4 linked regions of the Struthio camelus genome follow. The protein of the gene in region 4 purifies or fractionates together with the protein of the main gene of each other region. This does not show direct contact. Links are inferred from orthologs where the notes say so. Each region holds a gene or a part of one and is shown on either strand. Other genes may lie near its edges. The genes, in order: GIPC1, GNA13, MYO6 and ARHGEF12.

The links.
Region 1: the proteins of ARHGEF12 (region 4) and GIPC1 purify together in Homo sapiens (co-immunoprecipitation; 4 studies listed by BioGRID and IntAct, with this or other methods). This does not show direct contact. The link is inferred for Struthio camelus from reciprocal best matches to the Homo sapiens genes ARHGEF12 and GIPC1.
Region 2: the proteins of ARHGEF12 (region 4) and GNA13 purify together in Homo sapiens (affinity purification with western blotting; 3 studies listed by BioGRID). This does not show direct contact. The link is inferred for Struthio camelus from reciprocal best matches to the Homo sapiens genes ARHGEF12 and GNA13.
Region 3: the proteins of ARHGEF12 (region 4) and MYO6 purify together in Homo sapiens (affinity purification with mass spectrometry; 4 studies listed by BioGRID and IntAct, counting the BioPlex papers as one, with this or other methods). This does not show direct contact. The link is inferred for Struthio camelus from reciprocal best matches to the Homo sapiens genes ARHGEF12 and MYO6.

The regions. Positions count from the first base shown.
Region 1 is NC_090972.1:3,432,191-3,440,113, reverse strand, and holds the start of GIPC1 (PDZ domain-containing protein GIPC1), read left to right. Parts: upstream 1-4,605; coding exon 4,606-4,899; intron 4,900-7,123; coding exon 7,124-7,309; intron 7,310-7,923. Other genes in the region: DNAJB1 (dnaJ homolog subfamily B member 1), read left to right, coding at 1-147, 307-537. UniProt on the Homo sapiens protein: May be involved in G protein-linked signaling.
Region 2 is NC_090960.1:3,531,422-3,538,781, reverse strand, and holds the start of GNA13 (guanine nucleotide-binding protein subunit alpha-13), read left to right. Parts: upstream 1-3,940; 5' UTR 3,941-3,968; coding exon 3,969-4,329; intron 4,330-6,132; coding exon 6,133-6,359; intron 6,360-7,360. UniProt on the Homo sapiens protein: Guanine nucleotide-binding proteins (G proteins) are involved as modulators or transducers in various transmembrane signaling systems.
Region 3 is NC_090944.1:43,547,601-43,556,089, reverse strand, and holds the start of MYO6 (unconventional myosin-VI), read right to left. Parts: upstream 3,282-8,489; 5' UTR 3,248-3,281; intron 2,675-3,247; exon of another isoform or gene 2,607-2,674; intron 1-2,606. UniProt on the Homo sapiens protein: Myosins are actin-based motor molecules with ATPase activity. Unconventional myosins serve in intracellular movements. Myosin 6 is a reverse-direction motor protein that moves towards the minus-end of actin filaments.
Region 4 is NC_090963.1:3,848,725-3,856,526, forward strand, and holds the start of ARHGEF12 (rho guanine nucleotide exchange factor 12), read left to right. Parts: upstream 1-4,442; 5' UTR 4,443-4,856; coding exon 4,857-4,888; intron 4,889-7,802. UniProt on the Homo sapiens protein: May play a role in the regulation of RhoA GTPase by guanine nucleotide-binding alpha-12 (GNA12) and alpha-13 (GNA13). Acts as guanine nucleotide exchange factor (GEF) for RhoA GTPase and may act as GTPase-activating protein (GAP) for GNA12 and GNA13.

The sequences.
Region 1 (7,923 bases), on a different chromosome or scaffold from region 4:
ACCAAGATCACCTTCCCCAAGGAAGGAGACCAGACGCCCAACAACATTCCCGCTGACATCATCTTTGTCGTCAAAGACAAACCGCACAACGTTTTCCGCAGGGAAGGCTCGGACATTATCTACCCGGCTAAAATCAGCCTCCGTGAGGTGAGTCAAGGGTGGCCGGAGCTGCTGTCGGCCCCGTTTTGGCCGCGGGATGAGGTGGGGGGGGTGATACGGGTGATACCGGCGGTTCGACCCCGTGTGACGGGGTGCTTTCGGTGACCCGACGGTTGTTCCGTAACGCCGTTTATCTCCCCGCTTCAGGCCCTGTGCGGCTGCACGGTGAACACTCCCACGCTGGACGGCCGCACCATCCCCATGGTCTTCAAAGACGTCCTGAAACCCGGCGTGAAGCGGCGCATCCCCGGCGAGGGCTTACCTTACCCCAAGACCCCCGAGCAGCGGGGCGACCTCATCATCGAATTTGAGGTCAAATTCCCTGACCGCATTCCTCCTGCTTCAAAACCCATCCTGGAGCAGGTCCTGCCCATATAGCGCCTCCGCTTTAAGGACTTGGCTAGAGCTCGAGGTGTGGTGGTTTCTTTTATTTTCTCTTTTTCGGGAGGGGACCACAACTGGGACTTTCGGGGTCTCTTTAGCAGCACCTCCCTTGGGGGGGGGGGTGTTTGCACCCCCTTGTTTCCCCGAGCCGAAGGGCGATGTCCAAACTGCCGAGCGGCCTCCGACGGCTCCGCTGGAAACTCCCACCGCCTGGATTTTCGTCGTGCGGGTCCAACCCCGACTTCCGGGCCACCCGCTGCCCCCCGACGATGGTGGCTCGGAGCCCTCCGGTGGTCTTCCCCCCCCCCCCCTTCCTCCTCCTCCTTTCCCTCCCAGCGCGGGCTGGTCCCTCGTGTCCTGGCTCGGTGGCGAGGAAGACTCCGGTGCCTCGGGCTTTTTCGGAAGGCCTCTTCCGCCTTCGCATCCGTAGCACAACTCTGGTGTTATCCTTTGCGGATAAAAAGGGTGTTTGTTTGTTTTTTGGTGTTGCTCCTGGAACAGGAGCGCTCTTGGCACTCGTGTACAGATATTTTTTTGTATAAAGCTCTGTAAAATTGATGTGTAATTAGTAAAAGTGAGACGGATGGCTCGTTTGTGTGTGGGGGGGGGTGGTGGTGGTGTGGGCCTGGGAGCTCGGCCTGGGATTATGGGGATTAGAGGCTGCGATGGGGGGAGGGGGAGTGCTAAACTGAGGGGAGCTTAAGGGGATTGGGGGGGAGGGGGAAGGAGGAGGCTGATTTGGGGCTGGGGCTGGGAATTCTGTTTCCCCCCTCCAAATTGGGCCATTTCCAGGCTTTTTTTTTCCCCCCCAAATTGTAGCATCTCAGGGGCTGCAGGGTTCCCACTCCCAAACTGTACACTGCCCGCCATGTTCCATCAATACACCCGCCCCGGGCCAAATTGCGCCGGTTCTGGGGTTTTTTCCCCCCAAATCCTACTGCTCTGTGGCTTCCCCCCGCTCTCCACCCTCCCCGCCTCGCTGCCGCCTACGGTTCCCAGCGTTCCCCCGGCCCGGCGCCTGCAGCGCGGCATGCTGGGACTTGTAGTCCGCGCCTCTGATTGGCTCCCCCCGACCCCGTGGGCGGGCTCGCGGCCGAGCAGGGCGGTGCCGCCCGCGTGCCGGGGCCCGTCCACCGCCCCCGGCCGGGCCCGTTTCCTGGAGCCGCCCCGCCCCGCGCGGGGGCTCATTGGCCGACGGGGCGGTGTCGCTGAGTGGTGATTGGCCGGCGGGGCGGCGCCGCTCCGCCATGATTGGCCGGCGGGGAGGCGCTGGCCACGCCCCTCCCCGGAGGGTCAGGCCCGGCAGCGCCCGGCTGGAGTTTGCGGAGTGACGGGCCCGGCCCGGGGACGCGGACGGTGAGGGGGGGCGGGGGGGGCCAGGACCGGCGGGGGGCTGAGACCGGGGGGGCACCGGGACCGGCGGGGGGCTGAGACCGGGGGGGGGGGACCGGGACCGGGACCGGCGGGGGGCTGAGACCGGGGGGGGGCCGGGACCGGGAGGGGGCTGAGACCGGGGGGGGCCGGGGCCAGGGGGACCGGGACGGGGGGGGCTGAGACCGGGGGTGGACGGGACCGGGACGGGGGGGGGCTGGGACCGGGGGGGGAACCGGGGCCAGGGGGACCGGGACCGGCGTGGGGTTGAGACCGGGGGTGGACGGGACCGGGACGGGGGGGGGCTGAGACCGGGGGGGAACCGGGGCCAGGGGGACCGGGACGGGGGGGGGCACCGGGACCGGGGGAGGGAACCGGGACCGAGGAGGGTGAGGGGCGGGGGGGGCCGAGACTGGGGGGGGGGAACCGGGGACACCGGGACTGGGGCCCAGGGAGGCGGCAGGACGGGACGGGGAGGGGAAACTGGGACCGGGGGGGAACCGGGACCGGGGGGGACACCAGGACTGGGGGGGGACACCGGGACTGGGGGGGTCACCAGGACTGGGGGGGGACACTGGGACCGGGGGGGTACCGGGGCTGGGGGGGCACCAGGACCGGGGGGGGCACCAGGACTGGGGGGGGGTACCGGGGCTGGGGGGACACTGGGACCGGGGGGGGCACCAGGACCGGGGGGGGGACACCGGGACCGGGGGGGTCACCGGGACTGGGGGGGGTACCGGGGTTGGGGGGACACTGGGACTGGGGGGGGCACCGGGACAGGGGGGACACTGGGACCGAGGGGGAGGGAACTGGGATTGGGGGGGACACCGGGACTGGGGGGGGACACCAGGACCGAGGAGGGGACCAGGACGGGGTTGGGGGGGGGGGACCAGGACTGGGGGGGGTGGAAATGGGATGGGGGGGGGAACGGGGACAGGGGGGACACCAGGACCGAGGAGGGGACCGGGACGGGGTTGGGGGGGGGGGACCAGGACTGGGGGGGTGGAAATGGGATGGGGGGGGGAACGGGGACAGGGGGGACACCAGGACCGAGGAGGGGACCGGGACGGGGTTGGGGGGGGGGACCAGGACTGGGGGGGGGGTAGAACTGGGATGGGGGGGGAACGGGGACGGGGGGGACACCAGGACCGAGGAGGGGACCGGGACGGGGTTGGGGGGGGGGGACCAGGACTGGGGGGGGGTGGAAATGGGATGGGGGGGGGAACGGGGACAGGGGGGGACACCAGGACCGAGGAGGGGACCGGGACGGGGTTGGGGGGGGACCAGGACTGGGGGGGTAGAACTGGGATGGGGGGGGGAACGGGGACGGGGGGGACACCAGGACCGAGGAGGGGACCGGGACGGGGTTGGGGGGGGGGAACCAGGACTGGGGGGGGTGGAAATGGGATGGGGGGGGGAACGGGGACAGGGGGGGACACCAGGACCGAGGAGGGGACCGGGACGGGGTTGGGGGGGGACCAGGACTGGGGGGGGGTGGAAATGGGATGGGGGGGGGAACGGGGACAGGGGGGGACACCAGGACCGAGGAGGGGACCGGGACGGGGTTGGGGGGGGACCAGGACTGGGGGGGTAGAACTGGGATGGGGGGGGGAACGGGGACAGGGGGGGACACCAGGACCGAGGAGGGGACCGGGACGGGGTTGGGGGGGGGGGGACCAGGACTGGGGGGGGTGGAAATGGGATGGGGGGGGAACGGGGACAGGGGGGACACCAGGACCGAGGAGGGGACCGGGACGGGGTTGGGGGGGGGGGAACCAGGACTGGGGGGGGGTGGAAATGGGATGGGGGGGGAACGGGGACAGGGGGGGACACCAGGACCGAGGAGGGGACCGGGACGGGGTTGGGGGGGGGGAACCAGGACTGGGGGGGGGTAGAACTGGGATGGGGGGGGAACGGGGACGGGGGGGACACCAGGACCGAGGAGGGGACCGGGACGGGGTTGGGGGGGGGGGGGACCAGGACTGGGGGGGGGTAGAACGGGGACGGGGGGGGGAACGGGGATGGGGGGGACACCAGGACCGAGGAGGGGACGAGGACCGGGCTGGGGGGGGGGACCAGGACTGGGGGAGGGGTAGAACTGGGATGGGGGGGGGGAACGGGGACGGGGGGGACACCAGGACCGAGGAGGGGACCGGGACGGGGTTGGGGGGGGGGACCAGGACTGGGGGGAGGGTAGAACGGGGACGGGGGGGAACGGGGATGGGGGGGACACCAGGACCGAGGAGGGGACCGGGACGGGGTTGGGGGGGGGGGACCAGGACTGGGGGGGGGTAGAACGGGGACGGGGGGGACACCAGGACCGAGGAGGGGACGAGGACCGGGCTGGGGAGGGGGGACCAGGACTGGGGGGGGTAGAACTGGGATGGGGGGGGGAACGGGGACGGGGGGGACACCAGGACCGAGGAGGGGACCGGGACGGGGCTGGGGGGGGGCTGGAAATGAGACTTGGTGGGGGGGGAACCATGATTTTGGGGGGGGGGGAGAAGACCAGGACAAGGAGGGACGCCAGGACCGGGGTGGGAGGGGGGGGGGGGACACGACACCCCTCCAGGCCACACACCCAGCCTCCCGCCCCCGTGCCTCAGTTTCCCCTCTCCCCGCAGCCCCCGCAGAGCCGCCGCCGCGTCCCCCCCCCCACCCGCCGCCGTCCCCCCCCCGCCGCCGCCGCCGATGCCGCTGGGCCTGGGCCGCCGCAAGAAGGCCCCGCCGCTGGTGGAGAACGAGGAGGCGGCGGGGGGCCGCGGCGGCCCGCCGGGCTCGCCCTTGGGGGCGGCCGGCGGCGGCGGCCCCCCGCCGGGGGGGCTCCTGCCGCCGCCGCCGCCCCCCGCCGCCGCCCTCCGCCCCCGCCTCGTCTTCCACACGCAGCTGGCCCACGGCAGCCCCACGGGCCGCGTCGAGGGCTTCGGCAACGTGCGCGAGCTCTACGGCAAGATCGCCGAGGCTTTCCGCATCCCGCCCGGCGAGGTGCGGCTTTGCGGGGGCGGCGGTCGGGGTGGGGGGGGGGGGGGCCAGGATGGTGTCGGGCACCCCCGGGGTGCTGGGAGGGGGCTCAAGGCTCAGGACGCTTGGGGACGGGGCACCCAGAGGTGCTAGGGGGAGATTCGGGGGTCGGCATGCTCAGGGATGGGGCGCTCTGGGTGTTGGGAGGGGGGTTCAGGGAGAGGGCACCCCGGGGTGGGGGGCTCGGGGGTCAGGACGCTCCGGGATGGGGCACCCCTGGGTGTTGGGAGGGGGTTCAGGGAGAGGGCACCCCGGGGTGGGGGTCTTGGGGGTCGGCATGCTCAGGGATGGGGCACCCCTGGGTGTTGGGAGGGGGTTCAGGGAGCGGGCACCCCGGGGTGGGGGGCTCGGGGGTCAGGACACTCCGGGATGGGGCGCTCTGGGTGTTGGGAGGGGAGTTCAGGGAGAGGGCACCCCGGGGTGGGGGGCTCAGGGGTCAGGACGCTCCGGGATGGGGCCCTCTGGGTGTTGGGAGGAGGGTTCAGGGAGAGGGCACCCCGGGGTGGGGGGCTCAGGGGTCAGGACGCTCCGGGACGGGGCACCCCTGGGTGTTGGGAGGGGGTTCAGGGAGAGGGCACCCCGGGGTGGGGGGCTCGGGGGTCAGGACGCTCCGGGATGGGGCCCTCTGGGTGTCGGGAGGAGGGTTCAGGGAGAGGGCACCCCGGGGTGGGGGGCTCGGGGGTCAGGACGCTCCGGGATGGGGCCCTCTGGGTGTCGGGAGGAGGGTTCAGGGAGAGGGCACCCCGGGGTGGGGGGCTCGGGAGTCAGGACACTCTGGGATGGGGCACCCCTGGGTGTTGGGAGGGGGTTCAGGGAGAGGGCACCCTGGGGTGGGGGGCTCGGGGGTCAGGACGCTCCAGGATGGGGCGCTCTGGGTGTCGGGAAGGGGGTTCAGGGAGAGGGCACCCCAGGGTGGGGGGCTCGGGAGTCAGGACACTCCGGGATGGGGCGCCCCTGGGTGTTGGGAGGGGGTTCAGGGGTCGGGATGCTTGTGGATGGGGCACCCCTGGGTGCTGGCGGAGGGCTGAGGGCTCGGGACAGTTGGGGACGGGGCACCCGTGGGTGCTGGAGGGGGGCTTGAGGGTTGGGACACTCGAGGACAGGGCACCCCTGGGTGCTGGAGGGAGCTTAGTGGTCAGGACAGTTGGGGACAGGGCACCCCTGGGTGCTGGAGGTGGGCTGAGCACTCGGGATACTTGGGAACAGGGCACCCCTGGGTGCTGGAAGGGGGGCTTGAGAGTCAGGACGGTCGGGGATGGGGCACCCTTAGGTGTTGGGGGGGTCTTGGGGATCGGGACACTCGGGGATGGGGCACCCTTAGGTGCTGGGGAGGGTCCTGGGGATCAGGACACTTGGGGACAGAGCACCCCGGGGTGCTGGGGGAGAGAGGGCTCAACGGGCAGGGTGAGGGGATCCTTGGGGTGGGGAGGGGGACAAGAGGACATTGCGGAGACCAGGGGGAGAGGAACGGGGGTGAGGGCAGCACCCGTAGGTGCATGGAGGGGGGGGGGTCCCACGTGTCCCCAGTGAGGGCGTCCCCGAGCAGTGGGATCCCATGTGTCCTTGGCGGGGGGGGCCCACAGGTCTCCAGCAGGGTGTCCCCAGGCAGTGAGGTCCAACATGTTCTGCAGGGAAGGTGTCCCCAGGGTGGGGATCCCCTGTGTCCCAGGGGGTCCCACGTGTCCCCAGGACAGGTGTCCCCAGCAAGCGGGTCTCGTGTGTCCCAGAGGGTCCCACATGTCCCCAGGACAGGTGTCCCAGGGCTCCTGTGCACCCCAGGGCAGGTGTCCCCTGGAAGGGGGTCTCATGCATCCCCAGGGAAGAGGTCCTTTGTGTCCTGGGAGCTCCTGGGTGGCCCTGGGGTAGATGTCCCTGGGAAGGGCGACCCACATGTCCCCAGGGTCCCATGTGCCCTCAGGGTAGGCGTCCCGAAGAAGAGAGGTCCCTTGTGTCCTCAGGACGGGGGTCTCGTGTGGCCCCGGAGGAGATCTCGTGTCTCCTGGGAGGTCCCACATGTCTCCAGAGAGGTGGTCCCCAGGAAGGGGGTCCCGTGTGTCCTGGGAGGTCCAATGTGTCTCCAGGGAGGTGGTCCCCAGGAAGGGGATCCTGTGTGTCCTGGGAAGTCCCACGTGTTCCCGGCGTGGGGCTCCGGGTGCCCCTGCACCGCTGACGGCCCTGCCCCACCCAGGTGATGTTCTGCACCCTCAACACGCACAAGGTGGACATGGAGAAGCTGCTGGGGGGACAGATCGGCCTCGAGGACTTCATCTTCGCCCACACCAAGGGCCAACGCAAGGAGGTCGAGGTCTTCAAGTCCGAGGAGGCCTTGGGCCTCACCATCACCGACAATGGCGCCGGCTACGCCTTCATCAAGGTGCGGGGACGACTGTCCCACGTGTCACCCACCCCGGGCCAGCTCCCACTCTCCTGGAGAGCCTCAGGGTGAAAGGGTGACCTTGAGTATTCTGGAGGGGATGAGAAGGGACTGTCCTACTTGGAGATGCATAGGGACGCTTCAGGCGGTCCCTGAGGCACCTTGGGGGGGACGCCAGGACGTGGTCTGACTTTATGGGGGGACACAGGGACACCCCAGATGGTGCCCGAGCCACTCTGAGCGGGAAGTGGGGGGAGCATCCTGGGCCATCCCAGGAGGACGCAGGGACGTCCTAGACGGTCCCCAAGCCACCACGGGGCTGGGAGGACTTGGGGACATCCCATACTGCCTTAGAGGGACGTGAGAACACCCTGGACTGTCCCTAAGATGGTGTGGGGGTTGGGGAGACCTGCGGGTGTCCCAGACCATCCCAGAGGAACATGGGGACACCTCAGCCTGTCCTCAAGCCACTGCAGGCCTGGGGGTACCTGGGGATGTCCCACACCATCCTGAGGGGACTCAGGGCCACCCCAGCCTGTGCCCAAGGCGCTGCGGGCCTGGGGGTACCTGGGGATGTCCCACACCATCCTGAGGGGACTCAGGGCCACCCCAGC
Region 2 (7,360 bases), on a different chromosome or scaffold from region 4:
TATGTGATGCCATTGTGAAGATATATTCATGTGGTCCACGTACCATGCGGTGGCAATGCAAGCCCATGGGCCTTCCAGAGCATGCAGATCCCACTGTGCCTGTGCCTGGGGGCCATGAAACGCACTCTGACAGAGCAGGGTAAAGTCAGCACGTGTTGGATGCTGAATTATGCACTAGAGCCCACAGAGAAAAGCCACACCATGCCAACCGGGGGCACACCTCACACTGAACACACAACAGACCTCCACTTCAGCTTACTCCCTCTTCAGCTGCAGCTGGTCCCCTGTGTCATCTCCTGGTTGCAATACCCCTTGAATTGCCAGAGAAAGGTCCAATGAGACCTTAAACTTTGTCTCTCCATTCTCCTTCCAAAGTCCCTTTAAGTTAGCCTCATTCTTAATAGACCCATTCACAGCTCAGATGACGATTCTCTTTGCTTTCTCTTGTGAAAAGCATGGTAGGTGGAATCCCCCCCTTTTTTATAGATCACATTTCCTACGTGGTTGCCCTTTGTTCACACATCAGAAGTTCTGTCAGGCAACACAAAAGACATGTGGTGAGTAACTAGCTTTCTAAGGAAACTGGAGATGGTGGTGAGGGGAAGGAAGGGGCTAACGTAAATGCAGCAATGAGAATGGTACTGTGAGCACGTCAAGCACAGACTGAATTTCAGCACCTAGTTCCTTCCAGGAAGATTTCAAAGCAGTTTACCAAAAAAAGGTGGAAACTACAGCATGGAGAGACACATGACTTAGTCGCAAGTGCCGTTGCAAGGCAATAGTTAAAGCAATGTCTCCACAGTCCATCGTCCTATTCTGCTAGGGCACAACCACTGAAAATGAGGGGTTTTCTCAGCAGCCACGTGGGAAGAGCTGGGAGCAGGAATGGGCAGCAAGCATTCGTTTCCCGTCACTCTTGGACCTTCCAGGGACAGGAAAGCCAAGGAAAGAAATGGCAAAGAGGAAGGAAAAAAGCAAAACAGAGAAAGACCTTGTGCACCCTGCCTTACAGATGAGACCTGGCTGCTGGGGAGAGAGGATGCAGCTGGGTTAACACCTGACCCAGGACTGAGATATTTTGCTTTCCCTGCTGAGCTGGATAACATTGAGCCCACTTTAATGTCCTCCCCAGGGAACTCTGGTCATCCTCAGCTCAGGTTTTAATGTAGTGGGGAATAATCTTTCCCTCTCTGCAGCATGCTGAAGGCCATGTCCCTTCAACAGAAGATTGGGAATAGTACAGCTAGAAGATTTTGGAGGGCACAGTTGGGAATGTGGAGTGAAGGGGAGAGAAGCGAAGGTAGCGCTGGGAGGAGGCCAGTGACTACCCAGAAATGAGGTGCTCTGGACAGTTGAAAATGAAGAATGGGAGTCGTTGAGAATGAGGTGACAAACTGAGAGCAGGCAGGAGTGACCAGGACCCTGCGTTGAGGGGGACAGCAGGAAGCGGATGACTGGAGGATGATGGTTACACAGGGCAGCTGGCTGCAGGCAGCTGGAGAGAGAAGCCAGAGAAGGGGGAGGCTGTAGCAAAGTCACTGGCTGGGTGGGTGGATGAGGGAAAGTGAAGTGAAAGGAGGAAAAAGAGGAAGGAAAAGGACAAAACTGAGACTACCAGGGAGAACTAGATGAGAGGCTGAAGCAGCACTGAAAGGAAGCACAGGTAGCCCTAGGGGATGCCTGTCTGTTCTGACACAGTTCTGACTTCCAGCAAGGGATGGCCTGGGTTTGGAAGGTCATATTACTGTCAGGAAAATAGCCTTTACTCTTCTTTCATTCACCCCCTTTATCATTGCACCCCATGATTTTAGGTGCATCTCGCTGTTTGGCCCAGAAGGCAGACACAAGTCATCCTTTCCCAAGCTTGGCTGTCGTTATCTTTTCTGCTGCACAACCATGATTTTCTCAATCTATGACTTAGTCCGGTTTTCTTTGGTATACTTTACTGGTAGGAGTTCATCAGTTTCTCACAAAGGAGGCACCCAAAATTTGTTTTAATATTTTGGCCCTGACCTCTTTGTTTTTAACTCTCTCCTTCACTAAAAGGCAACAAATGTTCATTTCCCTTTTGGAAGAACATTAAACCTTTTGAAGGAAAGCACAAGTACTGTTAACAGTTTCCTTATGCAGACAAGAAGCACGCAATGAGAAAGGTTGGCAGGATTTTCATTTACTGAAAACTACTTAACTCCAAGAGGAATTGTAGGAGCTTGGGAGTCTTCTGCATTTCTGAAGATGAGATTCTCAGAGAACTGTGTCAAGCCAGCAAAGATCTCTTGGTTTTAAAACTTGGACTAGAGCTCAAGAATTGCTGGCTTTTGTTTCTATACTAAGACCACTAAGATGTGCTTCTTGGATGATTAGATGAATTTTATGCAACCACATCCTGCTCTCTTTTGATAAATGCTTTTTTTATAAAGATCATGTGGAATAACTCACATGGAATTTATCTCCTTGTGGGCACATCCCCTATATAAGGTGCAAACATTAATACTCATCACAGATTTTGAAGAAGGAGGGTCCTTGCAGTAAACAGGCAGTGACATTTTCTCATGTTAAGCTCAGCTAACAGTTTCCTCATTCATCTCTTCCTTTTTCTTTTTTTAAACTTAAAATTATTGTTAAGAAAAAGCATCAGAGCACTGAGGGAAGAAATCAGTAGGTGCCAAAGTCAAGGAGATGTAATAAAGGGAGATAAAAGAAATGTTTAATGTAACTATTGCATAGGCACTTGCATGTATATATGTGATTTCTGCAATATAGTCTATAAGTGGCCACATCAAGAGGAGCATGACACAGATGTACCATATTCGCAGCTGACCTACGTAACTCGCGTATGCGAGTTTTTCAGTCAGATGTGTCCTTACGTCTTCAGACAACAACCAACATGTCAGTGGGCTGCTATACGAGAGCAGTCTGATTTGACCAATATGTAGGACTAAGACTTCTCTGGATAGATTTGAACGACTGTATCAATAATCAAAGACAACGATCTTTTTGCCTTTAATATTATGGACCAGATCTTCAGTCAGTGTAGGCCTGTGGAGGCAGTGGAGTGCCATGCTGGTATTCGGTGGTGCGTTCGCAGGTTAATTTCTGCTCGTGATGCACAAATGGTAAAACAGAATCAACCGTCCTCAGGGGCGGTTCACACCAAGAGGGGATTTTCAATCCTTGCTTGTCCCTCAGCTTATTATTTCTCTATCCCACACGTAAACGTTTGCCATCCTTAACAAAGTATCCCTAGGAGAACCTTTAAACACTTTAAAGTGCTTTGTTTCTTATTAAGCTACGAGATGATAGAAAGTGCTGCTGGCTCTGTCTGCTTATGACCCCCGCGTGAAACTCGGCACGTTTTTCCAACGTGGTGGCACATCTCTTTGCAGAGGAGCGGACAGGAAGCGCATGCCAAATCGTTCAGAAGGTTGTACAGAAACGATTCTCTTTTTCTACCAAGAACAAAAACTGCTGAGCTGGCAGGCTCCATCCTGCACCCTCTGACCGAGGGCTGAACCCCCCCGCAGCCGCTTGCGCTATCCGCTTCCTGGAAGAGGCGCCGGGCCGGGCCGCCACCATGGCCGAGGCGTGCGTCCCTGCGCCCGCGCACCGGTTTTGGGGGGGGGGGGAAGGCCGGGCCTCAGTTTCCCTCAAGGGAGCACAGACTTCGCCTGCGTTTGCGGCTCTGGCAGCCGTGAGCGGCAGCAGCGTTCAACACGTCTAACCGCCGCCTCCGCCCTCCCGCCATTTCCTGTGAGGGCCGCTCGTGGGCGGGGCTCGCGCCGCGGTCACGTGACAGTCTGGGGGAGCCCTGCGGGTGAAGGGCGGGAAGAGGGGCGTCACGTGACGAAGGCCGCTCGCGGCGGCCGCAGGGCGGCAGCGGCGGCGGCGCCCACAGTCACGTGAGAGGGCGTGCCCGGCGGGAGCGGGGGGGGGAGGTGTCACATGGCGGGGCGGGGCGGCGGACGCGCATGCGCGGGCAGAGAGCGGGCTGCTGCGGGCCGGGCCGGGCTGGGCGGCCGCTCCCCTCGTTGGCAGTGCTCGCTAAGATGGCGGACTTCCTGCCGTCTCGCTCCGTGCTGTCGGGCTGCTTCCCCGGCTGCCTGCTCACCAGCGGCGAGGCCGAGCAGCAGCGCAAGTCCAAGGAGATCGACAAGTGCCTCAACCGCGAGAAGACCTACGTGAAGCGCCTCGTCAAGATCCTGCTGCTGGGGGCGGGCGAGAGCGGCAAGTCCACCTTCCTCAAGCAGATGCGGATCATCCACGGGCAGGACTGGGACCGGGCGGCCCGCGAGGAGTTCCGCGCCACCATCTACAGCAACGTGATCAAGGGTGCGTGAGGGCGGCGGCGCCCGCGGGGACGGGACGGGGCCGGGCCCCGCTGTGGGGTGTGTGTGGGGGGGGGGGTCGCGGCGCCATCCCGCACGGGCAGCGCCTCCCGTTCCCCCCCCTCCCCCCTCCACACACGCACCCGGGGCGGCGGGTGGCCCGGGCCGGGCCCGGCGGAGGAGGGGAGCAGCGGCGCGGCGCGGCGGCCGTTGCCGGTGGAGGGAGGGAGGCCGGCAGCGAGCGGCGGGGGGACGGGCGGAGCGCGCACCTGGCTGCGGGAGGGCGCGGCGCCGGCAACCGGGCTGACACATCCACTCGGAGGAACCCCCCCCCCCCCCCCCCGCGCAGAGCCCCGTTGGGAGCCGCGGTGCCGGGAGCCTGCGCACATGGCTGAGGAGCCGACCGCTGACTTCCCCGCTGTCATCCGCGTTTGCTCCCTCTTCCCTCCATCGCTGCCTTTGCTCGCCTGGCTTTCGAGCTGGACTGTGTCGCGTCCGAGCGAAGCCTTGACTAAGTCGCTCAACATAGCGAAGCGCTGTAAGACCCCCGGCCCCGAGTTTTGGGGAGGGGGGGGGGCTTGGGTATTTTGTGGCCTAAGTCCTGCTGATTCTGAAAGAGAATTGCTTTAGAAAACTATTTATAAACCAAGCCTATTTATAAATAGCAGGGTAGTAGCAATTATGAGCAGGTACATTAACCTTATTATGGTCTATTAATAAAATCAGGTAACTTTTACTCTGTAAAAGCACACAGGCAAGAACTGCAAATCTTACTTTGTAGCTACGTTCCTGCAGTCATAGGTTTTGACAGATGGAAAAGGCAGTGATTCTTGAAAAGATGGTACTGACGATGTTGAACCAGTGTGTTGTTATAGAGCCAGCTGTTAGTACATCTTGATTCCTTATGCCTCTCCCGTGCCTTTATGGTTGCTTGTTCTTTCTTCTGGAGTTTTCTTTTTATTTTTGTTTTTTTCCCTCACCATCATTAAATCTAGTACCAGAATTTATTTCCTTGCATTTGCGTTATCATTGCGTTATCAGCCTTGGCACAACACGATTTTTCTTTTCTTTCTTTCTTCCTTTTTTTTTTCCTTTGAAGTCCTGTGTAAAGCAGGTTTAAAATGTTCAGCTTCTACTAGAGAATATTTACTGTTGCAAAAAAGAAAAAAAAGTGTGACAATGTTTAGGTGATAAGATCCCTTCTGCACTTAAGAAGTAAAGACGTAAAATTTAGAAGTTGTGGTTTTAGTAAATGTTTCCTTCATAGCTCTGAAAATATTAATAGCAGTGGCTACTTTCTGCAAGTAGGTATAAGTAGATACCAAGCTCATTAGAATACAATGACTAGGAAACCTTAAAATAAGGCCTCAGATAGTTAAATATATTCTGAAATGAGCTTTTAGACGTGCTTCATTTGTCTTATTATTCCCGCCAGGTCAGTGTAACAGCCAGAAAATGGTTCTGGGGATCAGAAAAAAAAGTGTAAATATCTGTTAAAGAGTTTTGATAGCACGGATTTACTCACTAAAAGTAGTGCTTCTGCGAGAGTTGTACTGGTACTATGGATATTATGGTCGTGATCAGGGCTGTGTTCTTCTGGTAGCAAATATCTCAGGGGCTACTTGAAAATTTAATGCTTTGAGTCAATTTTGCAGACATTTCATTATTTCTTACTGTGTGGTTAGTCCTATTGAACTCTGACTGCACACGGAGTAAGTGCATTGTTCAAGTCTTTACAAACTTGTAGGCTAGTGAAACAGTAGATGCTGAGAAATTCTAATTGCGATGCTCTTTCATGTTGTTGAAGGTGTGAGAGTCCTCGTAGATGCCAGAGAGAAACTTCATATTCCTTGGGGAGATCCCGCCAACCAGAGCAATGGAGATACGATGATGGCTTTTGATACGCGGTCAGTCACAGTGGTGCAAGGAATGGTGGAGACAGCGGTTTTTTTACAGTACCTTCCAGCTATCAGAGCGCTATGGGCAGATAGTGGTATCCAGCATGCGTATGACAGGCGCAGAGAATTCCAGCTGGTAAGATTTGCCTTTCAGTGTTTTTAGTTGAGCGTGTATGATGTCTTGTATGATGTCTTGTTCCTATATTGCTTTTCAATGAAACGCTGATCAAGCAGCCTCCATGTGAATGTTAAGCGTGTTTGAATGGTTGAGTGTTACACTACGGTATTGTAAACAGATGTGTTTAACTCCTTTTTTCTTTTTTTAAACCAAGAATAATAAAGAGCTCTGACACAGTTGTCCTCGTTTCATGTGTGAGAGAACTGAGACACAGAGTTTTTAATTCCGTAACTAAGCTAGGAGCTGATGGCTAGAAGCTGTGTAGTGTGTTTACCATATGATTATTCTGACCCCTTGTTAAATAGTGTATTGGCATTAAAAAAACATTGGATTACAATAAAGAAAGGCTTAATAGTATTGTGATTTTTAAGAAAAGATATGCATGGGTTAATCAGAAGAATTTAAAAACCACTCCCTTCTCAATTCCAATTTGAGCTATCTTGCAAGCATTCCCTGTGTATACTTCCTGTTTAAATTTAAACGTGTATGTTAATTCTCATGTAATGAGGTTTTTGTTATATTGAAGTTCTCAGCTGAAGATGGAGTACACAGTTCAGTAGTGGAGTTTGAAAGAAAAAAGGAAACACATCTTGATTCTTGAGCTGGAGCTTAAACTGTCCCTTCACTCAATTTATATGTTAATGCTGCAAAAGGAGAGGAAGACTTTGTTACGCTTGCCGTTTATTCATTTGTAGACTTGCACAGTAAATTGCCAATGTTAAAGACCTTTTTAGGGGTGGGGCAGTTTGAGAACCTTAAAATAGATTAAATCTGATGTTCTGTTCTTGCAGAACTATTAAACCTAAGTGGCTTTATGTTTTAACGTCTTAAAAATAACCTTTGTGTTAGTGTGAATCTGAACAACAGGTGATGGTGCCTCCTGTTGAGCTATTATGAACAATTGTGTAATCATACACTGACTTAAATAGGTTGTGTAAATACTTGTTATAAATATGTAT
Region 3 (8,489 bases), on a different chromosome or scaffold from region 4:
AATATTATCATCTATCGTATTTCTCCTGTCAAAATCTCTAAAACTTCAAAGTTTTCTTCACACCGGTGTTATTAAACATCGATAGAACATGAAGGATTCACAAGCCCCTTTTGTGACCTTGCAGCCCAGGCACAAGAAGCCACTACTCTACCTGGCCTACGTGACTGAATATCAGAACAAAGATGCATAGCAATTCCGGATTCTGAAGGATATAGTATTTACCGTAGATTATACATGAAAACCTCCTCAAGTTAGAAATACAGGGATGGGTTATTAGTTTTATTTTTTACAATTGTACATATTTATAATTTCTGCATGTCACTTCTGTCAGGCTTTTTAATTCAGATAGTAAAGACTGCTGCAAGGCTTAATAGCTGCTGTTATATTCATTCTGTTGGCTTTATATTTTCAAAAAGGCATAACCGTACTTTATTGCTAAACAGAGATTATTAATTTACATGCATTTTTAAAAAATCTACTGAAAACAGTTGAGATTAAATTTAATTTCTATTTTAATGAAAGCAATGGAAAGGTTTTTACCTTCTGCTATGCCACTTAGTTTTCACATTTACTCTCCCAGCTCTAACAATAAACTTACTCTTTTCTTTGCAGTTATTTTATAAAACGTACACTTCACAATTATCTTGTGCATTAGCACAGTTCCACAATGATATTTAAACAAATATTGCAAGAAGATATTTGTTTATACCTTCAGACTTCCGCTAAGATAATTTTAATCCTTAAATCACTTCTGTTATCAGATTTTTTTCCTAGCATTCTTCTCTCTAGAAAAGACAAACTTCAGACTGCACTTAACTTCAGATCTTGTTTCTCTTACCCTCTGTTAATTTGTCACGTTTGTAACAAAAGGAAAACTTACTCTGCTGTCAACCTTTGTACACTGCTGAATGCTAACCAAGTTCATAGGCCATTTTACAGCCTAATAATGTCAACTGAGCCGTGAGAAATTAGATCACTTCAAAGAACGTTCTTTTCCTTCCATGAGCAAGCCAAGACACTAATTTTGATGACATGACATTCTACTTCCCACCACCTTTGTTAAAAAAAAAAAAAAAAGGGGGGGGCTGACACAATCAGCAATATTTAAGTGAAATAACTGGTAATTCATGCGATCTGTAGTCTGTAGTTAATATACCTATTTTAATTTTATGGGTCTCTGATGGCATTAGGATTTACTAGTAAGGAATCTGACTACCAACTATCAGGCAAGCATCAACAATAAATATCATACCGTATAAATTGTACTCAAGTGATGGCAGATTAAGGGGAAGAATATTTTTACTGAAGTTTTCCTATTCAGTAATACATACAAATCACAGAAATTAAAAAATAGATTTTGGTAGTCTGTCATGCTTATGCACACTGCTTTCCAAAACTGAAGTCTGCAAACGTACTTCAAGAGGAATTTGCTTCAACAGATGATGTGTTTTAACTGTAGTACAAGTCATGCTCTGGAGTATGTCAATACTGTAAAAAATTTCATTTCTCTTACAGGGACACAGCCATGTTTTTGAATTGAGAGGAATTAAAATGAAAGCCAGTGGAATTTAGCACATACAGCATTTTACAGGAGATGATACTAAAGGAACAAGAAAGTTCAATGACATTTCATGATGTAAAGGAAAAGCGTTTTAATCTATGATTGCATCTAATAAGGAAGGTCTGGCTATGCTAAAAAACCATCCTGATAAGAACGTAAAGGGGGCAGTCAGGAAAGCACCTAGAAGGACTTTTCCTGATTACACATATACATTTAAAAGCTTTCAATTGAAGCTACTGGCTCCAGGTAAGCTTGCAGACCTCAGGGCCGGCACTTGACTGCCTGGGACGCCTCCTGCGCCCTTGTGTTTCTTCTCCCACCTTAATGGTAATACGTTTGTTTAATTAAGGAGATGTGTGAAGTGAGATCTACTGAATGCAACTGAAGCTTCTGTTCTCAACGTTTCCTGCTTCGAACTCTAATCCTCTCCACTGCAGTATTCACCCTTCTCTGTTTTAAGCTTGCTAAACTTTTAAAGAAGTACTGCATATTATTCTAATGCCTACGTTTAATATCAGAGGGCACCTATGCACGCAGCGGCGCTCCGGGAAGTCCCCACTTCCCTCCCGCCCCTTTGGGAAGCGTTTTACAAACGTGGAGTTACCAAACTCTCCCGGCCACCGCCGGCGCAGCCTTTGCTGCCCCGGCAGGCAGCCAGCCCGCGGGGCTCCCCTCGGGCAGCGGCTCCCGCAGGAGCCGCCCGCACCTGGCCACCGGCGGGGCGGCGCCGGCCCCACAGCGCGGCCCACGGCGGGGGGGGGACTGCCAGGGCCGGGCAGGAGGCGCCGGCAGGGCACACGCAGGACGCCGGGGCAAGCCGCCGCCGCCGCCGCGGGGGGGGAGGAGGGGGCAGAAGGACGGCACCCCCCCGGCCCGCCGAGCACGGGGCAGGGAGGACGCAGTGGGGAAGGCTGAAGGGCAACAAGCCGCCGCCGCGGGGCCCGGCCGCGGGTGACGGCGGCGGCAGCAACAGCTTGTCCCCCTCCGCCCACCCGCCCGCCCGCCAGGCCCCGCACCGGGACAGCGCGGCCCGGCGCCCGGTTACCTGCTGTAGCGGCGGCGCTGCGCGCCCGGCTGGCCCCGCTGCCGCGCTGCTCTGCGCCGCCCCCCCCCCCCCCCGCCGCTCGGGCCGGCGAACCGCCCGGGACGTCAGCGCTACAGGGGCCGGCCGGGGGCGGAGGCTCCGCGGCGAGGGCGGCCGCCGCCGGAGCGGGGGAGGAGGAGAAGGGGGGGGGGGAAGGGGCGACGGCGACGCCAGCGAAGCGCGGCTGAGGCCCGCCGGCCTTGCCCGCAGCACCGGCGCTGCCCCTCCGGGAGACCCCGCCCGCCCCGAGCCCCTCCGTAGCCGCCAAGGTCGCTGCGCGTAGGGCAGGGCTCGGCCCCGGCCCCGGCCCCGGCCCCGCGCTGAGCCGGGCGGTAGCGGGCGAGGCCCGCTGGCGCACCCCCCCCCCCACACCTTCCCCCCTCCCTCGGCTCGGGCGGGGGGCGAGGCGGGGGTCTCCCCCCGCCGCCCCCTGCCCACCAAGCCGCCGCTGGGCCGGGCCAAGCCGAGCCGCCCCGCGTCCGTGGCCTGCGAGCGGGCGCTACCTGCCTTACCCCGGCTAAGGGGGAGGCTTCCCCTCCCCCCCCCCCAAAAAAAAGGGCCTGTCGGTGGCCCCGGGGCACAGTCCCCGCCGCTCGCCTCACCTGAGGGCGCGGCGCTGCCTCCGCCCCGCCCCGGGGCGGTGCCCGCCCGGGCTGCCGCGGGCCGCGCGCCGGGCGGCGACCGTTGGCGACCGTTGGCCGCGCCCCACGTGGGGGCCATGTCGCCGGCCTGGGTAAAATACCGTGAGGAGAAAGGGTTGAGTTAAAGCTTCGGGAGTAAAGGAAAGGGCTGGCGATGCATTCAGGAAGCAGCATTGCCCTTAGAGCGGGTGGATGACCTCTGGTGCAGGGGATGTCTCTTAGGTCTCACCTGGCTTTTTCTTTCTTGCACCAGAAAGTGGTGTTTAGTCGGTTGGTTCGGTTTTGGTTTTATTTTTTTTTTTTTTGGCCGGGGGGGGGGAGGGGTGGAGATGCGGCTAGGTTTTTTTGAACCAATGCCATTACATAAAGAGTCAGGTTTCCGTTCATCGCATGTGTTTCTTAGAAATTTCAGGCATGTCACAGCATTTTTATGCTGAAATAACTGTGTCCACAAAGTTGTATCTCCTGATGCGTATGGATAGAATTCAATGAATGCATTTTTTTCTGAGTTATTTTTGGGCAGTGTCTAACACCTTTTAGCTCTGATTTCAGTCAGGCTGTCTCAATGTACTCTGTTATAAACAGTATTTTTGCTGCTACTTACCTCTTTTGCTTTCTATTTGCATTTCAAATACTAGAGTTCATCAGCAACTTCACTTAAGTGCCAACATAAATGCTTCAACTTCATACTAGTATGTCAGAATCTCAAAGCAAAAGCAAACTGAAATAAAGCGAAGTTTCACTGGTCCTCTCATGTTTGTTTTAATTAACCATCACACTATAAAGAAAGATATGCAGTAGATGGCAGCTCCGCTGCTGTGGAAATTCTGAAAATCAGAGATTCCTTGAAAAACATCCTTTCTCGTAAATCCCCGTCTTGTTTAGGTGCTGCTCTTTTCACTACCATGACAACCCTTTTTCTAGGGAGCCACAGGTATATATTGCTGAATTTTGCACAAAACGGAGAGGCTAAGATCGCACCTATTGCTCAGTGACAGTCGTGTCTGCCTGCCTTTGGCCCTGTCTAGCCTGAGTCTGATGCACCTGCAAGGCAGCACACTTGCTAACCTGCACACCAGTATTTCCATTGGCTTTCCGAGCTGCTGTGGAGATTTTCTATTGCACCCGTGCACACCCAGCTGCTTATGCCAGTGACTGTCACCAGTGCGTTGGTGTGACTCAGGAGAGCAGCCCAGCTGGAGAGCGTTCCGTCAAACTTTGTGTCACACCACCAGAGACGCATATAACCACCCCTCCTTAAGTACGTATACTGTACTTTTGTATCACTTCCCTCTCCCTTAGTTTTATTAGCGTTCCTAACATTATCCACTTCTTTCTCAATTTTCCCATAAAAACTTTGCTTCTCTTCATGCAATACTTGATGAACAGCATAATTATCCTGACTGTATGTGCAAAGCCTCTTTGCTGTCCACTGCAAGACCATAAAGTCGTCTTGTGTGTTTTGCTGACAGAGTGAATCTAGCTACTTCACACTTCAAAATCTCTCATGTTTTCCCTTAACATTATGTCCCTGGCTACTTTTCTTTAGACATGGTATTTTCAGGTGGATCCTTTCTGAGTGTCTGGAAAACCTCATATTTCCTTTAGGGAAAAACAGAAATCCCCGGGAGCTTTCCAGGGAAAGGATTCTGTCAAAGAATAGCATGGAAGTACACGTGGAAGTGAAAATGGGAGTACACAAACTGGATGAGTAAGCCGGCATCTAAGGCAGAGCAGAGCACGGGTGGAGGTAAATGCTCTGTCCTGATTAACATTCCTACAATTCATATAACATGCTATAGGCTGATTTTGTTTTTCAAAACACTATACATGTCTGCAAAGTGACAGTTTAATTTGGCAGTTGCATATTCATTTGATACAATTTAAGAATAGTTAACAGGTTTGACAGATCAAAATATTTTAAACTTCTAGAGAAGGGGAGTGGCACTTTCCACTTAACCCACTATCTTTTGGCGCAGTGTTTTGTACGTTCAGTCTTCTTTTTATTTGCAAAAGAGATAAGGATAATAATTACCTGGAAAAAAAAGTATGACTAGAAAACTAAACGAAAATATAAGTTCACTGACTGATTTAAAAAAAAAAAAACCTCTTAGCAAAACAGGATATAATGGCAGGAAATGGTCAACAAAATATTTTCAGTGTAAACAAGCCAATCACTTCCACTTTGCCTTGGAAGTGATGCAGCACTGAAGAGTATCTCATGATCTACTGTGCCGCTTCCTGGTAAGGAGCACGTCTGTCTACTCTCTCACTTTTTTGTCCCTGGGAATTCTAAAAATAACCCAAGACACAGCAGCGTTTGTTCTGTAGATCCTCTGGGAAAAAAAGAAGAAAATTCCCACAAAAGTAAAATATGAGTGCAGGAACTTCAACCTAAACAAAGGGAAAAAAAGAAGAAATAAGAAAACAAAGAAAAACGTGTTTTACTGTACTCACTTTCTGTATATGAAGGGGGAGCATTCCAGATTTCATTCATAGGAAAGTGTGACCAGCCTCTGTTATTTCAGTCCAACTGAGATTTTTCAGAATACCAGGAAACAGTATGGCTAGGGTGGAAACTCAAACCAATTTTTACTTGATGGCTATTTTAGGCTACTGATATTTGTAAGACATAGATTCAGTTTAATGGCTGTAATGGAGACCAGAGTGCCTTTACCGTGACTCAGTTCTTCCTGTGCCTTTAATATGTCACATGGGAGAAACCGTAATGGAGAAATATCCATTCAAAAGCGGTAACGCACAGATGAGATTTGCAGGAGTAGCTTTCATTCAGTAGTACGCAGTACCTATCAGGTAGCAAGAGTCTATTGTAATGAACAAAACATTAGTACCATACTTCAGTATCGTCTTAAACGTGCAAACGATACACACTAGACAGCCTACCCGGCATCCCATGATCGTACCAAAGGTAGAAAGATTGCTGAGACAAGGCAATGCTCCATTTTAGCGAGAACATCAGTACGGGCGCACGCTGCTTTGCTGTACGCTGCCAGGCAGAACTGACAATATTCCAGATGTCCACGGTGTCTTAATTCACCCAGATACTAAAAATTTATGTTTAAATATTCATTTCTTACAGATGGTAGAAAACACATTCTGCCCTCAGATTTGCCACATTTTTTTAAATATATGTGGTACGGGCCATCGTATTTTGTCAGAGCTGATGAACTGCAGACTATTTGAAAGGATAAGTAGGTAAAGGATTCCAGGTGACTTCCCGGAAAACTTTGAGAGAATATTCTACCTATTTTCATTTCAAACAATATTTAAAATGGTATGTCAGGTATCTGAACTTCTAAGAAAGTGAAATCTCCTGTATAATTCTGTTGCTCAAGATCTAGACCTTCCAGTGTAAATATGAAACGGATTGTGAGAGTTAAGTTTCTCTCCCCAGTCTCTACTATGAGAAATTAAATGTAAAAATCAGGCTTGACAGTCACTACAAGCCTTTACTATATGTATCTCTTCACACAGAAAGGTTGCGTTTAAATCGTATTATAATTAGCTGAGTTTCTTCATGGATTACATGTTCCAAATGTAGCTTGTAATGGGTGAACTTCTGCCTGTAGAAACATCCGTGGGCACCTAACCAATGACTTCCTATGGCCCAAAGTTCATTCACTTTAAAGTGCTTTGTTGTCATACGCGTATATAAATATAATGTAACTACACTGTATCTGTGTAATCTGGTCATGCTAAAACACCTCACAGCTCGTGAATACGAAGCGTTGAAGTTTCCTGACTGTCAAGTGCTTCAGCTTAGTGGCTTGATATTCCATAAAATCATTTTAGAAAAGTAAAAACATCCAAGTCATATCCTTATTGGTTTTAAAAATGGATTTACCTGTACAGAGTTTCCAAATGTAGCTGTTGTAGCTGCCAACTTAGTCTTGCCAGTACAATTTATCTATTATTTATCTAGACAAAGAATAGCTTACTTAAACGTTTGCAAAAGAACATTTCTAACTGGCTCATAGCAGCTTATGGTCACAGACAAGAGTTCAAGAAATTAAAAAATATTACTGGGATTTTAGCAATAGTATCCTTACCAATTCCAAGATCATAATCCTTTCAGAATCAATCTGTGGCTTCTTTCCACGGACGTTTACTCAAGGTAAGAGACATTCATTTCCTTAACATGAAAACTGTTTACTGGAAACGGGCATGTAAGTCTTATCTGCTCCCTTTCACCTAGTATTACGGGCGTATACATAATGCTATGATTCTGACAGCCGTGAAAAGATTGGGTTTCTTTTTCCTTATTCCCAGTAGACTTTAAGTGAACACCTATTTTGACTATAGCTAACTTTTTTTTTTTTTTAAACACCTTGACTTTTCCACAGGCCTTCTGTATTCCAACTGATACATTCAACTTACTATTAAATTAGACATTATATGGCTTAAGGCAGCAGCTCCTATTTGAAGTCCTACTGTTTCATTTCAGTTCATAAGTAGTTTCTTCTTTCCTGTTATCAGACTGCATGTTAGTTAAGGAAGGTTGATTGTTCTGCATTTCCATCTTTAGCGATAGTATGACTAGTTTCTGAAGGTCTATATTTTGACTGGAAGTAAATCTGCTGGATTGGTCCAATTTTTCAATAACCTCTGCTTAAAGAATGTATTTGAAATTATATATAATAAATATATATAATATATATATAAAGACTAAGCAAATAGATTATTTTGAATTGTGAGTAGTTAAAAAAAAAAGAAAGGAATGCAAAATAGACTTGGTTAAATAATAGTGCAAGAAGAGGTAAAAGGTACCCCTGACTGATCAGTTAACAGCCTTTCTCAAGTCCGTTGCTTTTTATTTTACTTGTGTGAACAGAGCATTTCTATAAACTCAAATACCAAAAACTGGAAAATGAGATTGCAGTTGCCCAGAGCAGCTAGAAGGTATCCTCAAAGTCATCACAGTATTTCAGGATGCATGGAGTCCATTTCTGAGGCACACGTGCCCCATGTGTCCCGCAAAAGGATTTGCTCTTGTTTTTGCTAACACATCTCTTTAGCACAGATATCCGTGGGCCCACTCTCACACATGTAAAAATATAAAAGGTAGAATGGGCCCTACCATTTCAGATATTTTGTCTGAAGGACTATGAGGATCTGTATTATAGGAATTAGAACCCAGTAAAAGCCACATGGATAATACGCAGAATAGCAATTACCAATTACT
Region 4 (7,802 bases):
CAGTTCCACAGTCTATACCTTTTCAAATTACAAATCACAGAACTAGGAATAGAGTTAAGGTCAGAAAATTCTTCATCCACTAAATTTATATCATGGAGGTCAGAGAAGCTCAGCTAAATCACATCTGAGCTACAGCACACAATTTTATGAAGCTCTCCAGTCTTGACAGGGTCTGCAGAGGATTCATTGCACTCCGGTAAGTTCCTCTAATGGTTGAGTATCCTATTAAAAATGTTATGATGTGAAATTTTCATCAAACAAAAAAAATCTCTCTGGTTACGTTCCCTGTTTGTTCATACTCAGGTTAAAGTTTGAAGTATACTAGCTATCTGAGGCAAGGCAGCGTGATAGACAGCTGGCATCAGGGAGTAAAAACGTCATCAGTCTTGGCTTACTTCCTACCTCTTGTTTGCACTGAGCCTGTAGCAGGGCAAATCCTGATCAAACTGAACCCTGAAGTGGTCAGACTGCAGCAACCTAGAGCTCCCCAAAGCTCCAGAATCTGACACTGGTTTGAAATACTTGTTTCAAAAGCGGGGTGGGTGGGGACGTGGGCAGGACCTCGTTAAAATGTCCCTAGGACAAGTTTTAGATGAGCTGATACAAGGATTTGCCAGCAGATGGCAACAGGTCCTCGGGTGAGCTACTGGTATGAGGTTGGAAAACTCAGGTCTTTTCAAAACAACCTCAGTAAAACCTTTTTCCATAAGCATGCCTTTTGAGGAGACCCATATAAAGTACCTCTGAGGATCTCTCCTTTCCTGTGCCATCCTTTTCTTTAAAGCAAAGAAAGGGGTTACTGCTCATAGGACTCAACATTGTTCAGTTAAGGGTCCTCCTTATTTGAGTCACTTAGCTCTGTTCGGGACTGTGAGGTATATTCTGTGGGAACATTGCTACCTTGCCCGGGAGACGTAGACTGGTTAGCTAAATATGCATTTTCCACTCCTAACATCTATGTAGGTATGACTGTACTAACTATAAATTGAGGCTGAGGACCTTATAGCTACCAAGGGGGAAAAAAATATTTTAATTGATATTGCACAGTGTAATTGCATATTGGTTTTTTTTTTGGATTTCACGTTGTGAAACTGCCCAGGAAGCAGAGGTCTCATAAATATAGATGCCTATTAACATAAGTATACAATCAGCTCCCAACTAAAACCAGCATTCGCACAGAAGAGAAGCACTTATGGTACCAGAGTCTGCTTTTGAATTGTTTTATTAGTGCTTTTTCTTTCTAATTGTTGCATTAAACAGTGAAATGGGAATGCAGCCCGTTATGAGCAAGAGTTAATCTACTGAACAATATGGTATAAGGGTTTTATGCTTCCTCTTTGCTATCGATGTAGTTTTTTTTGTGAAGCTGCTTTTGACAATACTGAGCAAATTCTTTGGCAAACGGTGATCAGTGTCACTCCACTGACTTTGATGACAATTTACTGCAGCAGAGGTATGTTACTTTCTAGTTCCTCTTTCGCTCTCTGTCTGTGTGTGTGTGTGTGTGTATATATATATATATATATATTTGTATGTATATATTTAGGTTTTCCTCTGGCTGTTATTGTCATTATTTTGTCATGCACAATAAGATATAATTAAAGTAATAAAAGAGCATCAAGGCCTAATATGCGAGTGCCAGGCCTGTCATGGAACAGAAGCTCTCCTGGGAACCTTCCTCTTTCAAGGCACACTATTTGAAAACCAGTGAGTTAAAAGGGGATTTACTGCAGGGAAGATTCCCTTAACGCTGACCAGTGCTATTGCATGCTGCAGCAGTATTACAGACAGTCATGGTTGCATGTCTGGCACCCCCCTCTGTCTCTTCTTTCAAGCCTTTCCCAAAAGGAAACCAAGAGAGGAAGTGTGTGTGTTCTTTATGTCTGTGTCAAGTATCATCTAGCAAATGATTTCATCCCACGCTTCCCCCCTTTGCATTGTACTTCTTAGAAACAAATTCATCAGACTATCAGTCTCCTGACTTCCTGATTCACATTCGCTTGGTTCCCAGGAGGAAAAAGCTCTATGTTGTGGAGTGACAGGCTTCTGAACATAACTTAAAGCAAGGTATTGTCCTGTGTGCCTTAGTGATGTTGTAGCTGGTCTCGACTTTGCAGAGGCCTGTTTTCCAGACTGTTTCCAAATCCAGCCTCCTGAGTTGGAAGAAGCATATCAAGGTAAGGGTTGATTAAAGGAGAGCAGGAAAGTGTACTGTATGATTGGGGGCTAGCTAAAAAGATAGTTATGTTGGTCTGTTGGTATGTGGTAGGAAAGACTGATGTGAGCTCCCCGTCATGGGGTGCTGCATGAATCCTTTAGCTCCGGGAGACCACGCAGTGGTATCTACCCTCCCCGGCAGTGGGGCCAAGCTGACAATCCCCCGCGCTTTGATTAAACCCTTTTCACTTCTGCGGTGGGCATTAGCTTTAATTCCGGCAATGAGGGTAACCTGGAAGGTTCATGGACTTCTAGTATATAAATATTATTCCTTGGCATTTGAAAAGAAGAGCGCTTGGTTCACATCTTATTTATTTGCCCTTTGTGTTGGCAACAAGATTTTAGGATTAGGTAATGCACCTAGTATTCAGCTTCTGGTCTGTTATTACAGCCTGCTTCATGCCGTTCACCCATTGTTCGAATACATGTAGAGCTGAGACAGACGCTTCTCCCTAAAGCTCTGTTTATGTATAGCGTGGGTGCTGGGCAGTCACAGCAAGGCATCAGCAAGGACGTATTTCTGTTGAGAGCCGTGCCCGACTGGAGAGAGGCAAATCCGTGCATGCGGAGATTTTCCGTGTCCAGCAGGTGTGGTGACAGAGCGCCTGCTGCTCGCCGTTTCATACCGGTGCTCTAATTTGCCGTGTATTTCCTTTCTGTTAAAAGTTTTCTTGGTCGTGGTGTTTTCCACACGGCAAAGGGCGCAGGTCGAGCCCGGGAGCGCTCCCTACCCGGCCGAGCTTGTCATCAGCGTGGAGAGGAGCCCAAACACAGGAGAAAGGTTGCGGAGGGCGTGAGAGGAGAGAGGAGGGATGTCTCCGAGGTGGATCTCGGGGGGGAGGAGTGGGAAAGAGAGAGAAACATCTTTAGCGCTGATACTACGGGCCAAATTGGGGGGGAGAGCTATTAAAAAAATGGGTGAATGGAAGAAAAAGGGAAGAAAAACGCGGTTTGCTTGGAAATGCTGAAAGCTTTATCTCTGGCAGGGGCCGGCCTGAGGGGGGCTGTGAGAGGGGACCCTCTGGAGGGGGGAGCGCCTCGGTTTACATTAAAAGCCGTAATGGTGGGACGGTGGAGGTGGGGAATAAAACCCCCACGGAGCTCCGACGTGTGTGCTTGAGGCCCCGGGACACCGTGTTCGCTGTGCCCGGGGCCCCCGGGCGGGAAGGAGCCGTTTCGGCCCGGCGGAGGGGAAATGCGCCACGGGCCGGGCCGGGGCGGGGGAAGGGGGCGGCCGGCGGCAGCGCTGTGAGGAGACGGGGGGAGGGCGGGGGGAGACAGGCCCTTCTCGGCGCGCACTGAGGGAAAAGCAGAAAGAAAGCGCCCCTTAAAAACGCGAACGAACACACATACACCAAGAAAACAAGCAAAAAATAAAAATAAAAAAGAAAACGAGAAAATAAAAAAAAAAAACGGGCCGAAGCGGGCTAGGAGCCCCTCCGGCCCCGCCTCCGCGGCCGGCGGAGGGGTCTGGCGGCGGAAGGACACGGGCGGCGCGGTGTGAGGCGGCTCTGAGGTGAAAGCGGGGGGGGGGGGGGGGGGAGGAGAGGAGGAGGGGGCGGGGCGAACGCGGCGGGAGGGGCGGACGCGGCTCGGCCCGGCCCGGCCCGGCGCGACCCGCGCAGGCTCCGCCGTGGAGGCGCCGCTGGCTGGCCCTCGCCTCGCCTCGCTTGGTCTGGCTTGGCCGCGGCGCAAGGTGGGCCGGAACCGGACCGGGAGGCAGCAGCGGCAGCGCCTGGGCGGCTCTCGCGACAGGACTTTGCCCCCACCGGAAACCCCCCGGCTCGAGCAGCACCGACGGGCCGGGCCGGGCCGGGCCGCGCCCCGCCGTAGCTCGGGCCAAGCGGCGCGGCCGGGCATGCGGCGGGCCTAAAGGCGGCGGCGGCGGCGGTTTAGAGGGCCCTGCGCGCCCCCCCCGCTGCGGCCAGCCGGCGGGGCGGGGGGTCGGCGCGGGCCGCCAGCGGGACATGGGCCCCGGCGCGGCGGCCCCGCGGACACCGGCAGCCGGCGGGGCGCTCCGCCCGCCCGCCGCGGGCCAGGGGCCGTGAGCAGCGGCGGGGAGGGGGGGTCCCGGCGGCCGGGCGGCCCCCTCCCCTCCCCGCCCGGCACAGAGGGGCAGGCGGGGTGTCCCCGCATCCCCTCCCTCCCCCTTCGGCTGACGTTTCCCGACGTTTTCCCTTTTGGCCTGCGGCTTGCGCGAAAGTCGGGATTCCCCCCCCCCCCCCCCCCCCCCGGCGCACCCTCTTTGCAACTCCGGACCGTCTGAGGATTTATTGCTTTTGAAGACTTTCCTCCCCCGGCACGCGTTGTTTTTTTCCCCTCCCCTCTTCGTTGGGGGGTAAGGGGGGGTCTAGGGGAGCAGCTTGTTTTTTTTTGTTGGAGTTTTCCTTAAACATCCCTCCACCGTGATCTGGATATTCTGGGTGACTGCAAGAAGAGTTTTGGAGTTTTTCCCCCCCCCCTTCTTTTTTTCCCCCCCACCCCTTACCCTTGAACTGAATTTGTCCTCTGTGCATGCCTCTTCTGGAGCAAGGCTGGATCCTGAACCTCAGTGCATGCGGGGTGCAAAGCCTCGTTAATATTCCTGCAGTAATAGTAAAATGCAGATTGGATAATACGACTTCTTGCTAAAGGCTCCAATGAGTGGCACACAGCCCACAATCACGGACAGGTCAGTATGAAGTGATTTTACGAAGCCTGGGTGCTGCTCAGAGCTCCTGTGCTTTGTGTTCTGGCTTCAGTGACGGTGTCAAAGATCTCTGGTCAGAGGAGATCAGGAAAGCGGGATTAAATGGAGTTTCTGGAAAGCAATATGTATCGGGGGTGGCTGACTGTCAAGGCAAATGGGTTAACTTTGAAACTGAAGTATTTCAAGTCATACTACTTTCAAGCCTTCCAGCCTGACTGTAAGAACCAGAGACTCTATAATTCAGCTTCCAGGGCAGATTGATGCTGGTAGGAAAACCACAAGGAACTATGTGAAGTCAGAGCTGGAAAAGTGACAGAGTTGAGGATGCAGTTTGAGTCTTCAACCCGAAAACTTAATGGGGGATTATGCTTGCTTTTCTTTAGGTCAATGCGTTGTAGCCTTTCAAAGAGAGGTCACTTCAGGTGAGAGCGGGAAGGGTAGTTGATGAGCAGGAATGTTTACTGGTGCCTACAGTACCTTAGCAGTAATCTACTACTTGCTTTGGCTACCTGCTCAGGCCTCTGGACTTCACTGCAGGTGCTGCTATGTGCGGTTCATTAGCTGTCAGGAGTTTTCCCACTTGTACTGGGATGCTTCAGAGGCAGGTGAAAAAAAGGTGTTTTTTTTTTTTTTTTCTTTTCCTAATTGTGAGAAAAATGAGTCAAGTAGGAAACTTTCCTTTGAGAGAGAAGTATGAGTTCATGTCTAATTTTGATCTTTCTGGCTAGCAACAAAGATACCTTTTTGAGGCTTTTTAGCAAAAGAGACTTTTCCTTTATTATTACATATTTGTTGGTAACGGTGTCAATGTGTGTGAGACAAAGGCCTGCTTAGGCCTTAAATGTCCAGTATGGCCTGCATCTCTCTGATGCAGGAGGTACACTAGGCTCGGGACAGAAGGGTGATGCTTTTGGGTGCCTGAGAGCCTTTTAGCTTTCAAGCGTGGGCAGAAAAGAGACCAAGTTTAATTCTCATTAACACCAAGGCTTTTTCGTAACTCTGTAGGTCTTAAGAGGCAGTACAGTAATTGAGCAGTGTAAAGCAGCTGTAGTGCAAGTATCGTGTCTGTTCAACGTTCTTGATTGTACTGTTCTTAAACTATTAGAGCTGCTCTGAAATGAATTGTACTAGCAGAACATGTGACAGAAGAAAATGCCAACTTGTTTTTCTTTTTGTGGCCCATGTGCATGAACACTAGCAGATGTTCTTGAGTTCCAGGACATTTTTCTTCTGTACCATACAAGACAGTGATAGTAAAAGAAGATGTTTGAGTGGCCTTGTGAGACTTTTGTCAAATACTTAAGAGTGTGGGTCTTAAGACAGCTTGCAAGACATCAAAAGGAACAGCAGGGTTTTCACACCAAGAAGCAGTTGAGTAGATGCATGGGAAAGAAAAGCAGGAGGGCAGGGAATTTGCTTGTTAATAAAAACAAAATGCTTTCCGTTATTGAGTTAGAACAGACAAATTGAAAACGTAGCGGAGACAAAACATGTCTCCGTTTCCTGTTGCTTTCAGTCACATCCAGGGCATGTTTCTTCTTGGTGTTCCATTAAGGTTTTGATTCAAAAGACTTCAAATGTCAGGGAAAAGGGCTGTCTCCCCAGCTGTAGCAATCGGAGCTTTCTAATAGTAGGGTTGTATGATGGTTGGGGAGATGCAGGGCAGTCAGGTCTTGCCTCTGTGCTTCACCTCTGACCTGAGAGACTCCCAGCTCTAATGACGAGAAGGTGATTCAGTCTTCAGTCTCTTGACTGAGACTTTCAACCATGCTAAATGTGGCAGTGTGCGTGTTCTCATTATGTGGACCTCTGCTTACAAGAGTCTAGAAGAAGGCCACTTGTTTGTTTTATCTACAGCATTATGCATGATCTGGATAGAGGTGTGTTTTTTTTGTCACTGTTGTCCTAGCAGTATATTCGTGAAAAGCTTGCTTTCCCGGCATGCCCAAGAAACCTCTATATTGTCTCTTTAGATCCAGCTCCTAAACTTGGAATAGAAAGCAGGTGCAAACTCTGCACTTGCAATGTCATTAGATCTGCACACTACAAATCATATTACGTGTTTAATTCTCTCTTTATTTGTCAGTGACCCGCATTGGTGTGATCGAGTTGGGAACTGCCTTACAAACAAAACCAAAAAACAGCTTACATCCATGCCAAATGATATTATGAAGAGGGCATCATGGGCCTCCGTTTTTCTCCACATTAGCTTTACATACTTGCGTTTTACACTTGTGTAGCTGCTTAAATCCCTGTTACAGATGGCAAATATTTTCTTTTATATCCCTTTAGCTTAAAGTGGTTATCATACCATGTGTTTTGATAGCTATTTGACATTCCTCTTGTCCAGGTTGCATTTGTTCCATCTTTTACGTGTTTTATGTCTTCTGCGTTCTTGTTGTGTTGTTTATGATAGTTAAGTATTTGTAAAATAGGAGGAAGGTATGAATTGCCACTTTTACTGTTGCTTTATAGGCAATACGATAAACTAATTTTTTGTTAAACCCTCTCCTTTTTATTTTTCCCCAAGAAAGTTAACAGGTTGTATTAGCTGAGACTGTGCTGATACATGGTCGTGCCAATTCACATCTGATGTTTTTTTGGATATTTGTCTCTGTATATCAAACGGTAGCCCTGTTCCCTTTGGCTGTTCTCTATCCTCAAGTTGGATTCTGTTATCTAATCCAACTAATTGACAAGGCAACATAGTTTCTAATATCTTTTTCCTTCAATGTCTTAAGAGCCTTAGAAAGTGAGTGCCTTGGTGAATGGGGGAATACCAGGTATGAAACAAAAAGACTAAAAGGTGTTGAGACTTCTGACAGTACAATGGCTCCTCGGCAAAGTTATTCAGAAAAGAAGGTGGAAGTATCTGACGTGTGCCGTGCCTGGCAGG